Drosophila melanogaster: one gene and its partners. The protein of the gene in region 2 interacts with the protein of the main gene of each other region in a pairwise test. Each region holds a gene or a part of one and is shown on either strand. Other genes may lie near its edges.

Region 1 (3,755 bases), 3.0 Mb from region 2:
AATATAGATGTTGCATATGAATTTAATCTACTGCGATTGAAGTCAAATTGTGCAAAATTAAAAATGAATTGTTTTGTTGAATTTAATGGGACAAACTTTATCTTTAAAGTGCCCGAAGGACGAGAGTTTTACACGGCGAATTCGTATAAATTCAGCTCATTTCACGCTGACCGCCCCCACAGATTGTTCCACTTGCTTTAGTGGACATGGCACGGGCCAGATTGCGTAATCGTTTTTCATCCGCGAGGACCCCTGAGAGCCCACCTGTATTGCCTCCCCCCACCACCCCTTCCACTACCCACGGCGTTCGGTGTGCTTGATGTTCGCATTTTCGAAAAACAAATTTATTTTCAAGCGCGCCCAATAAATTGAAACTGACTGACCCACCGCCATCGCCTGTTGACCGTTGACTCGGCGGCAGTTGTTTCTATTTCCATTTTCCGGGAAAAATTGTGGGATGGGCGAGGCGGAGGTTGAGGATTATGTCTTTATGTGCATATTTTGGAATTTTATAACCGTTGCGTTGCGTCGCTGACAGTTGAATGGAGGGGGGGAGGTGGGGAGCGTGGAACGCGGACAGATTCCTGTTTTTCACTTTTCAGCCAGATTTCGCCATTACTTCTAATGAAGTCAAAAGCCCCGTTGCTACAAGAGCGAAAACTGAAACAAAAGCTGAAACAAAAGCTGAAACAAAAGCAGTGACAAAGGGCCAAGGGCAAGCGGTCGCGGGGGAAAAGCGGTTGGAAAATATTCAAATTAATTTCAGGACATCTCCTGTTGGACATAAGTTCCTTTTGACCAGGTTGTTGTCGCCATATTTTGCGTGTTCGCCGCCACTGCCGACGTTTTTAATCCTGACTTATGGACTTCCGTATTCGGTTTCGTCATCAGCGTAATGCCTGCTGCTCTGTCGGTTGGGATGGTTGGTTTTCCCTTTGTTTTCCGCCGTACAAACTGCTGAATCGCTTTTTACAGTTATCCGGATGACCTGTGGGTGGTTGCTGCCCAATGCCCCTGGTGCAAATGTTGATGTTGATGTTGTTCCTGCTGTTTAGTTTTAATTACACGCGAGCCTGCCCTCGGTGGTCACGCCTCGATAACTTGATTTTCCAGCTCTAACTCATGTGAAAAGTGACAGCGTTGCGTTCACCTGGGAACTCGTCGCGTAACTTTCACTCACCGAAACTAGCAGGACATGCCGCAATTTGTCTCCCACTTCGAAATGTTGCCAAAGCAGTTCGAATGTTGCCAGCCGATTTCCAGCAACACCACGCTTCCAGCAACAAAGGCTGAAGTCAGCCCCTCGTTTCGGAGCAAAATTCGGAGTGGCATTCGTGGCGAAAAATATGATAGGGGTAGTTTTCATATGCCTCTCTCTAGGCAAAAAGCTGACGAAGAGTGACTGCTGAGCTCAAATAGCTTTAAGCGACAGGTGAACAACATGATATGACAGCATTACATGATCAATTTATTATATGTGGCTTGTGCTGAGAAGTGGCTAAAAGTTATTTAAATCGCAAAAGCAAAATATTGGATGATAAAAATGAAAAATTTGATGTAAAATGTACTTGCTGTAAAAGTTTGAATTTCAAGCTGTCATATGTCATACCTTCAAAATAAGATAATAGTTAAATCAGTTGTTTAAGTATCAGTTTCAAAAAAAAAAGAGTGTGAGTACACGAATTTAAGTAAAAAGAAAGAACAATCCAAATAAACGATATTTGTACTGTATTTTGTTATTGTCTTTTGTAAACAAAACTGTTAATTATGTTTTATGGCCAAAGCCAGGGCAGCGCAGCCTAGTGTCTAACAACTTGAGTTGGTAATGCCCATTTCGCCGTGGCACAGTTGTCCTGAGGCGAACTGGGAGAGAGCCAGCCATCTTTCGCTCTCTGAGCAGTGCCCTCTCTCATCGTCGCTCGGGTGGCCTCGTGGGCGTAGCCGAAGTGCACCGAAGCAACACGAAGTGTTGAGCCGAACCCGAATGCAGGGCGCTGAGAAACGACGGCGAACGGCCAGCAGTGTTTCAGTTGAAAGTGAACCCTTCGACGCAGTTGACACGAATCGCGCGCGACTCGTTCTAAGTGTTTTTCAGCAGGAGCAGAAATCCTGAAGCTGAAGCCAAAAGACCCAGCAGGACATCAGCTGTGCCAGCGAAAAGGATTCTAGCTGCAAGATAATAGTTATTTGTGCAGTGTGCTAACCTAAAAGCAAGCAGTTCTCAGACTGCAACTAACTAAAACAAAGCCAAGTGAATAAACTAAGCCAATAAGATATAAAAGTGAAAAACTTTAAGGATAATAAAACCGAAAACGATCGCTCGTCACATGAGTTCCAGTGCCGCTGGCGCAGGTAATAATTTGCAGCATATTAGTGAATTCTTGTGGGAGCTGTTCGCACTGAAATATTCAAATTGGCACCGAATGTCGCTTAGAATATAAACGTGTACGTGCTGCAAGGACTCGACTTGAGCCAGTGTTTACATTTTGGATTTTATGCGATAATACTCAAAGCCATCAGCGGCAGAAGTGGTAGCTTCGCTATATGGTTGGCTGTGTTATACGATGGCTAGGAGCCCAGGTGGGTGGTTGGGTGGCTTTGTGGCTCCTTTACCCCAGCCAGCTGCCAAATAAATAAAGCAACAATAACAGGGCGGGCAATAAAAGCCACCGCCAAGGGCTCAACCGCCGAACGGTCTTAGCCAAGAAGAGAGTCTGCGAAAGTAAGCAAAGTAACAAAACCAATTTTCATTGTTTTGCGGTGGCTTCCAAGTCGCACTTTCCTCTTGTTCTTTTTTTTTTTTTTTGTTTTTTGCAAGAAGCCGCCTTCAGAAACCAGAAGTATAACAAAATTTCCCTTAACACACACACACACATACACACCAAGTGGGAAAAATAAGGAAAATGTGCAAATGCCGACATGAAATGAAGTAGAACTTGGCATGTGGCGTCCTTAGTTGTATATATGTGTATGTGTGTGTGTGGGTGTGCTGGTGGGAAAATGTTTGTGAAAATGAGAAATGAAATAAACACATGCAATGGCGAAAAGCGAAAGCTTCATAAAAATCCGCTGAATTTAAATACTTAAGAGCATTCGCCGAAAGGCATTCCTGCCGACTTCTTCTCATTTGGGCAAAAGTTTTGCGTCCCTGAAAGAAGAGGTAAATACCCAGAAGCTGTGTAAATTAGGATCCAGATCCAGGCAGACTTAATCCCGGAGAAGCAAACGATAATAGGGATATCATACGATGGCGCTGTGGATGGGGCTTCGAGTTCTTCTGTGGCATAAATAAGTCGTTTGCAGCTGTTCGTCGGCATTTATTTGGCTGCCTGTTCAGGACATCACAATTGTTTCTGGCATTTGGTTAACCTGCAAGTATTCCGCATTCGAGACGTGTACACCAATTTCATATGCTAAAATGCTCGCAAAATCGAAAAAGGGAAGCCGGAATCGTAACCACACAGGCATTGGCAGCCCCAAAGGGGCGAAGACACGCGCTGCCTGCCATTTAATGCAATTGATTTGTGTTGCCTAATTCGGTTAGACGCGCTTCTACAATGCCAATTGTGCGAGCGATTCGGAGCACTGAGAGAAAATATGACAGTTAGATTTATTCAGGACCCCATCGGTAGTCTGTATCAACACAGGTTTATCAATAAGAAAAAGCACTAAATACAAATAGTCCAGGCAAACATTTTTCACAAATTTAAAAGAGATTTAAAAAGCCAGACTTTCTGGGCACTTCTCAATTTTTG
Region 2 (3,755 bases):
ATGTCCTTCCAAAAGATTTAAGCATAAATCTTAGCCCACATTTCGCATCAATTTGCATAAGTGGAGTGGAATGGGAAACTGCCAGAGCGCACAAGCTCGATGGCCATGGATTGCTTTCGTCATTGTTGGCGACGCCACAAAGTCTAGTGTTGCATGCAACACATTGCAATGCCAACAGGCGAACGGATGGGGGTGGCTTCAACGGTGGTGATGAGTGGTGAGTGCCTGCGGTTCGTGGCCAGGGTCATTATAATTGCGCCTTAATTATTTTCAACACGCAGCTGTCATTTTTGCCGGGCCCCAGATTTCCGCCATCAAATATTTAAGACGCATGCAACGTGGCGTATGCGTAACGCCAACTGCTGCCAGCGGTCACTCGGTGCGGGCGAGGGTGTTGAAATAAGGCCAGTTAAGTCACTAAAATAATTACACAAATTAATTTAAATTGCATAAAGAGGTGCATACGAAAGAAGGACTAATTATGCCAGCTCTCAAGGCAACAACTGTTTTTACCCCTTTTTTCACAGCATGTTTTATGTACTGTACCCTATATTGTTAGGTCCCCGAGCGTTCTTCCATGGTCATTAGAAATTTAATTAAAAATTTTGATATTGTTAGGAGTATAGGGAATTCTATTTATTTCAAGCTTCTTCCGCCCGATTGCCCATTAAGCGGTATTAAAACTGTCTTCCCCTCGGTGCCAAAGTGTCATACTTGTGCATATTTCACACCCTCGCTCGCATTCACAGAAATGTGTGCACATTTCGCAGGCAATGAGCTTTTGAACATTTAATGAGTTAATACGCTAAATTTGAAAGCCGCTCAAGCGTGCGCCAAGTGCTTCAAACACTTGTCCCCATCCCCGAGCTGCCCATTTTCCAGCTTGAATAATGAGAATGGGGGTATCAAGCCGCTAAATCCAGCACTGAAAAATTTTTCATCAACTTAATAGAAATGTGTTTATTTTTTAATAATATACATTTAGTTTGTAAGATATGTGAAATAAAATAATTTCGAGTTATTTATGAGAATTATATACGAATAAAAGATCAAAAAAATAAAACTAAATTTTTCTCAGTGTACGCACACACGCATATGCAAAACACTAAGCACTTGTCATTTGGCTGTAAACCCTACGCGTCCGTTCGTTGGTATAAAAAAAACAGTGCAAATGTCCAACAGACGAGCATATGTACATACATATGTACACTATAGGTATGTGCGATGTATGTACATATGTACATATGTGCGAAATGGAGGATTGGTTGGCTGTCGTGGCGTCGTATTCATCCTGAACTCATGGGTGTCATTTCTCAGGACCCTCGCGGTCTGCAGGATAACAGCAGCGTAACAGAAGAAGACCCTCACTGGGGACCAGGACCAGAAAAGTAGAGGCTGCCAGACTGCCTCACTTTTGGCGTTCAAGTGAAAGGACGAAGTCGCCGACACTGGTGTGGCAATACTTTTGGCAGCCAATTGTGCGGGCTGAGCAAGATGAATGAGGAATATGAGTGTTGCTTGCACAGTGGGCTACTTTCAAGGGTGTTGGAAGATTCATAACTATCTTAAAGATGCTTTCAGCAGTACTTCTTATGTGCGAGATATAAATTCAACAATTTCTAGATTTTGTAAATAAATATTTCCTTCTCTTATCCAAAATCATTTATAATAAAATAATAATTATTTTATTATAATATACAATATAATAATAGTTGTCATGAATTTAAATGTCACAAACAGGCTGTCTTTCATTAGTAACATATTTTAAAAATTACTCATACGCCACGTTGTCAGTCAAGTAAATATATTTGCCATTTAAAACAGCTCTTCCAATATTATTACAATTCAAACTAATTATATGCGTTATGTGGCTACTTAGTCCACTGTAACCGCCGAGGGCTATGCTATACCCTATGTGCCGCCCGCAACCCAAGTGAGTGCGCACCCACTCTCCGGCGAACTCGCTCTCCGTCTCCGGCGGAGTGGCTCCGGATATTTCGGCAACAGAAGCCTGGCTGCGATAGCCGGAGATTTTCCGAGCGAGGGAAAACCGAATGCCGAAGCGTCGCTGCTGGCAAACATTTTCCATTTTCGCAGTCCTGTAATCAGTTGTGTATAGGACACTCGCGTGCGCGCGTCGAACGGTTTCTGGCTTTATTTGTGGGAAAAGTGTGTGTCTGACGGCGAAACGGTAAACGGGGAAAACGCTGCGCGGTTTTTGCTGCTATCGAGTTCTTCTTTTGCTGGATTTTATATATGGAAACGATTGTTGCTGCTGTATCATTGCAGCTTGCAGCTTTAAATTTAACTTAAATGCTAAAACATCGTTTTGAAAAGCAACGCGAGAGTTAGACAAACAAGTTGGAGGAAATTTTCCAGCTACAGCTACAGCTGCTGCCTCAGCCAGCGTCGCAGTCGCTGTTCGAGATAAAGGATATGCCCGGATCTAAAAGATACAGTTTTTCCTCTTGTTTCTTTTTCCGCTGCTGCTGCTCGTGCTACATTTGCTGCTTGGCATTTTCCGCACAGCAACAACAATCGTTGAGACAGGACCGCAAGTTTTGCTAAAATGTAACATAACACCAAATAAGCAGAGTTAGGAAGAGTGAGCGCCAAATAATGCAAATAAATGAATAAGCCCAAATCATTAACAAATTAAAACGAGGCACGCAAAGGAGGGCAGGAAAATATAAATATCGAAAGGAGTCAAGTCAAGTGCTTTCGAGGAGCTGTTTGCTGACATGCTTTGAGGTTAATACCACCCACCACCACCCAACCGCCCACTACCACCCATCTCAACCATCAGCCATCACCAACTCCTCCTACCTCCCTCATCTCCGTTTTGGCCAATTTCTCCGTCTGCTTTCGCCGCTTTCTTCGTCAACGCCGCTGCTGCCGCCGCCGCCGCCGCTGCTGCCGTCACCATCAAAAGGCATCGAAGGTAAATATATATGTTATATTTTAGCCGAGTGTGTGTATATAAGTCAATGGGCCAACAAACTAACCTACAAAGTAAACAAAAGCGTTACGCTACAAATGCAAATTTTTCGCACACATGCTCAAGAACTATAAACAACAACTCATTTAACTGACGCCATGCCCCCATAAAAAAACCAAAAACAACGCAGCTTAAGACTAGAAATGAAAAAAAAAAAATGGAAAACAAACAGTGAAAAGGTGGAAATGGCACGGCAAATGAAACACAACAAAGCAAAACGCACGCTTCTAAAGCTATTTGTATAAAATTTTAATCGCATGCGATTTATTTGACTAGGCGCCAAAGTCGCACGCACGCACACCATCGCATTTTCGCAGAGGCACCCACACACACACACACGCAGGCTAGTGAAAATTCACACACTCACCTTGAAAAATGCGAAAAAACAGTCTGGAATATTTTGTTTATTTTTCGCAAAATTATGGAAAATATTTATGGGCTCTATTTGAAGTTTGAGCTGTGCCAGGTTTTTCATTCAATAATTGAGGAAAATAATGAAAATGTTTAAAAAACGCATCAAAGAGTATTTTTGTGAGATTATATTTAAAATTGGATGTGAGGCTTCGATTTACTATTGAAATGTTAATTTTCATATTTATTTAAACAAATAAGAATCTGTGTTTGAAGACGCACCTGGCTGCAATTGTTTACTGTTTACGGCACTGTGAAAATATATTAAATTGTTCATACATATTTTTAACTTTTGGCAGAAGTGTCGACAACTTGTTTATAATTTTCCAAAATAGTGAAGCTTTAC
Region 3 (3,755 bases), 3.2 Mb from region 2:
AAAATAGCAAAATATTCGAATATTTGACAGCTGTCAATTTGGGCTACCCCGAATATAGGTCACTACCTCGAGGAATCGAACGAGGGCCCTCAGGGTGCGGAAGATTTGGTCTTCGTTGGGACTGCTCTGGAAGAACTGAAGAATGGCCATGGCCAGCTCCACGGCGATATCGTCGAATACCTGCAGATATATATCTTGTATCTACGATATTTTCCAATACTTTGCATACCACATACCACAGTCTTCACTTCCTTAATAGCAATGTTGTACAGGATCATGCTGCCAATATTTTTCAGCTGCGGGCAATTGGAGAGGATGCAGTGGACGGCCACCTTGGTGGTCACTCGTATGTTGGAGATGGTCTGACCATTGTATTCCCACTCCGAAATGTACAACAGCCATTCGGAGGGACCCAGGTTCTCAAAGAGATTGCACATCTGAAACATATTGAATATATAGCAAACTTATATATTCATTCTCCCATTGCGGGACCTACAAACATGGCCCAGGCCTGCTGCTCCTCGGGCGTCTGCTTGTCAATGTCCTGGGCGTAGTTCATCAGTGTGTGATCCCTTCGATCCTGGTGCAGAATGATGATCACATCATCTTTGAGCGCCGCATAGGCCAGCGTGCGGATCAGGTGTATCCGTGTGTCCGGCGAGAAGGCCTGATTGTCACGCAGGACGCGCTGCACGAAGATCAGAAAGTTGTCGCCCAGCGCCCAGGAGCCATCGTCCTCGATCAGATACTGATGCAGCTCCTCCATGGCCACTTCCTCCTCCTTGTAGATCTTGCCATCGAGCAGTTTCACTAGGCTCTCTAGCTCAGTCTTTATCTGTGGGAAGTGGAAGTGGAAAGGATAAGATATATGATGCATTTAGCGATGATTCGGCATTAGATAATATAAGTCACAGATTTACTGCAATTTTCAAAAGTGCATCTAATTGTTTACAAACAAATCAGCCAGTTTGTAATTGTGTATATAAGAAAACATTTTTGTTGGTTTTTTTTTTGGTACTTGGATACAGCTTCCTAGTCTTTGGACTTACATCGATGTCTTTGAGGACCAGCGCCGGTTCGCGTGGTACTTCCTTCTCCTCCGTGGACTTGGAGCGCTCCTTGCCGTTCTGGGACTGCTGTTGTTGGGCTGCGGGCTCTGACATCTCTGGTCTATTAATAGCCGCATGAGGAAATTATAATAATAAAATAAATTGTATAGTCAAAATTAAATGAACATGCATTCGCATGGGACCACAACAAACTTTCGCTGCGCAAGAGCCATTAAATTGCAAAGGATTTTCACTTTTTATTCGATATTATTTTTTACGATCCGCCTGCGATAATGTTGTAATTTTCAGCACAAATTGCCAATCAGGCGTGCTGAAATGTTTACAATTTCGGCAGTAGAAATATGTGAGGAATTTGATGTTTCATATAAACAAAAAAGGCGGAAAAGCATTTAACTTAATTAACAGCAGAGAAGCGCTGGGAAATGAAAAGGAAAAAAAAGAAAAGCGGTTGCCGGCGACACCATTGGGTAGGGGAAAAGTTGTCAAACCGAAGTGTGACAGTAAAACTGAGGAAAACTCAAAATAGCCGTGGTATTTTTAGTTTTTTACTTTACGTAGACAAAAACAAGGTACAGAAGATTCTCAACTGGCAACACGAAATTGCATGCAATGTGATATAAACGACTTTTTTCCGGCCTCAACCGACAGAAATTGGTAATTATAATCAAATAAAATGTTGAGATATTCCCAATTAATATGCATAATTTATAGATTTCCAAATTACTCACATGCTATTTTAGTAGAAGTGACACAGAAATTCCTACACTTTCGACACCAAATCGTGGGAAAGTCGCGAAGAAATCACAATTTAAAAATCAACTAGGGCACAAATGGTATCAGTTGTTTATTCAAAATTCCGAAAATGAATATATGGTTATTTATTTTCCAGATCATGCAACTTTTGTAGAACTTTTCATTGAATTCCAGAGATTCGAGTAGCACGCGAACCGTTTTGGCAGAGAGTCGCCTCGAAATTGCCTCTGTTTGTTCGGAAAAGTCTAGTGGAAGTGTGAGGAAAAGTTTCGGAAAATGCACACTCAAGCGCGTAGGAGCGATCTGTGAGTGTGTTCTTTCGGATATATCCGATCGGATCGGGTCTTTATAAATAGATACAAACGCCTCAGTTCGCTCGCGAGCGAATTATGGCCAATGCAGCTGCACTGAACGAAATTAGTGACAATTGCGGGGGATTTTCGCCCACTTTAAGCCTGCCCAAGTTGCGTTTCAAATTGAATTTGCAGTGGTTTTTATTACACTCGGCAAGGGCAAGGACCATCCTTCACACGTCAATGCAATGTTAATGTGCGGGGGCGACCCGGCTGGGAAAGGTCGGGAAAAACACAAAAAGCCATTAAGTGGCAACCAAAATACATTCCAGGCCCAGCTGGTGGTCCTGTCGCCTTCTGAAAGCAACAAGTCTCACATTGCGTAGCCGAGATGTTGACCAAGGCCCAAGCTGCGGCCACTTTCATTTGGCTTTCGAGTGTTAAGCGCGTCGGTTGCTAAGTGGATCCTTATTAAAAAAAACACACTCCTGCAATGAGAACGTCCATGAGGATTTCCCTGAGGCTGCTTGCACTCCTGGCTTGTGCCATTTGCTCTCAGGCTTCGCTGGAAAGGGAGAACAACGAGGGCACCAATATGGCAAATGTGAGTTATCAATGGATTAACTATTTCATTAAGACCCAACAGAAAGTGGAAGTAAATTGTGAAATTCGTTAAATTAGTTAAGCGGAGTTATAATCTAAGTTGATAACGCGACGCATTGTTTAACGTTCATTTACATACCTAATTAAATAGTTGTTACCTGATTAGTTTTGATATAAATATAATTTATCGTCTTATTTGCAGCACAAGCTAAGTGGCGTTATACAATGGAAGTACGAGAAGCGACCGTTTTGCAATGCATTTACAGGTAATTTTAATACAATATATAATAATATCCATTACAATCCGGACGATTTACAGGCTGTGGACGAAAGCGTACGTATCCCTCGTATCCGCCATTCTCGCTATTCAAACGCAACGAAGTCGAAGAGAAACCCTATAACAATGAGTATTTATCCGAAGGTCTAAGTGATTTGATCGATATCAATGCCGAGCCAGCTGTGGAAAATGTTCAAAAGCAAATCATGTCGCAGGCCAAAATCTTCGAGGCCATCAAAGAAGCCAGCAAGGAAATCTTTCGGCAAAAGAACAAACAGAAAATGTTGCAAAATGAAAAGGAGATGCAGCAATTGGAGGAGCGCGAAAGCAAATAAATCGAAATAATCGGATAAATCGGAATTATCGGAATAGTCGGATTTCTGGAAAGCAAATTGACTGGACGGTTAGCACACTGCTTTTGTTATTGTACATACTATCTTTATCCATGACTCCTTGAATTGTGAAGAATTCCACAGCACTGGCATTGCATTCAATAAAAATTGTTGACCTCACTTTTTGTTGTTTTCTGGTCTATTGTATTTATTGGTAATACATCTGATTATAGAAAACGGTTTAGAAAGTTCATTATTTTTACCACACTGAATATACAATATGTTACCCTATGCTATCTCTTGGTGACATTAGTAATTGGTAATCGCAGTTGGTTCTCGTATCATTGCATACTTATGATAACGATAAGGACAATCATAAAAGGTATTTCAACAGCAAACAGATGGATTGCACCTAGGCAACTTTAGC

What was found.
Region 1: the proteins of CG5890 (region 2) and klg interact in a two-hybrid assay, tested with the Drosophila melanogaster proteins (one large-scale study listed by BioGRID).
Region 3: the proteins of CG5890 (region 2) and CCAP interact in a two-hybrid assay, tested with the Drosophila melanogaster proteins (one large-scale study listed by BioGRID).

The regions. Positions count from the first base shown.
Region 1 is NT_033777.3:22,897,259-22,901,013, forward strand, and holds the start of klg (klingon), read left to right. Parts: upstream 1-2,025; 5' UTR 2,026-2,352; intron 2,353-3,755.
Region 2 is NT_033777.3:25,854,033-25,857,787, forward strand, and holds the start of CG5890 (uncharacterized protein), read left to right. Parts: upstream 1-2,121; 5' UTR 2,122-2,941; intron 2,942-3,755.
Region 3 is NT_033777.3:22,700,334-22,704,088, reverse strand, and holds CCAP (crustacean cardioactive peptide), read left to right. Parts: upstream 1-2,004; 5' UTR 2,005-2,609; coding exon 2,610-2,720; intron 2,721-2,921; coding exon 2,922-2,985; intron 2,986-3,038; coding exon 3,039-3,331; 3' UTR 3,332-3,507; downstream 3,508-3,755. Other genes in the region: CG6972 (uncharacterized protein), read right to left, coding at 64-180, 237-437, 497-835, 1,050-1,163. UniProt on the Drosophila melanogaster protein: Cardioregulatory neurohormone that increases heart beat rate during adult wing inflation; has no effect on beat amplitude. The effect of CCAP is both ino- and chronotropic.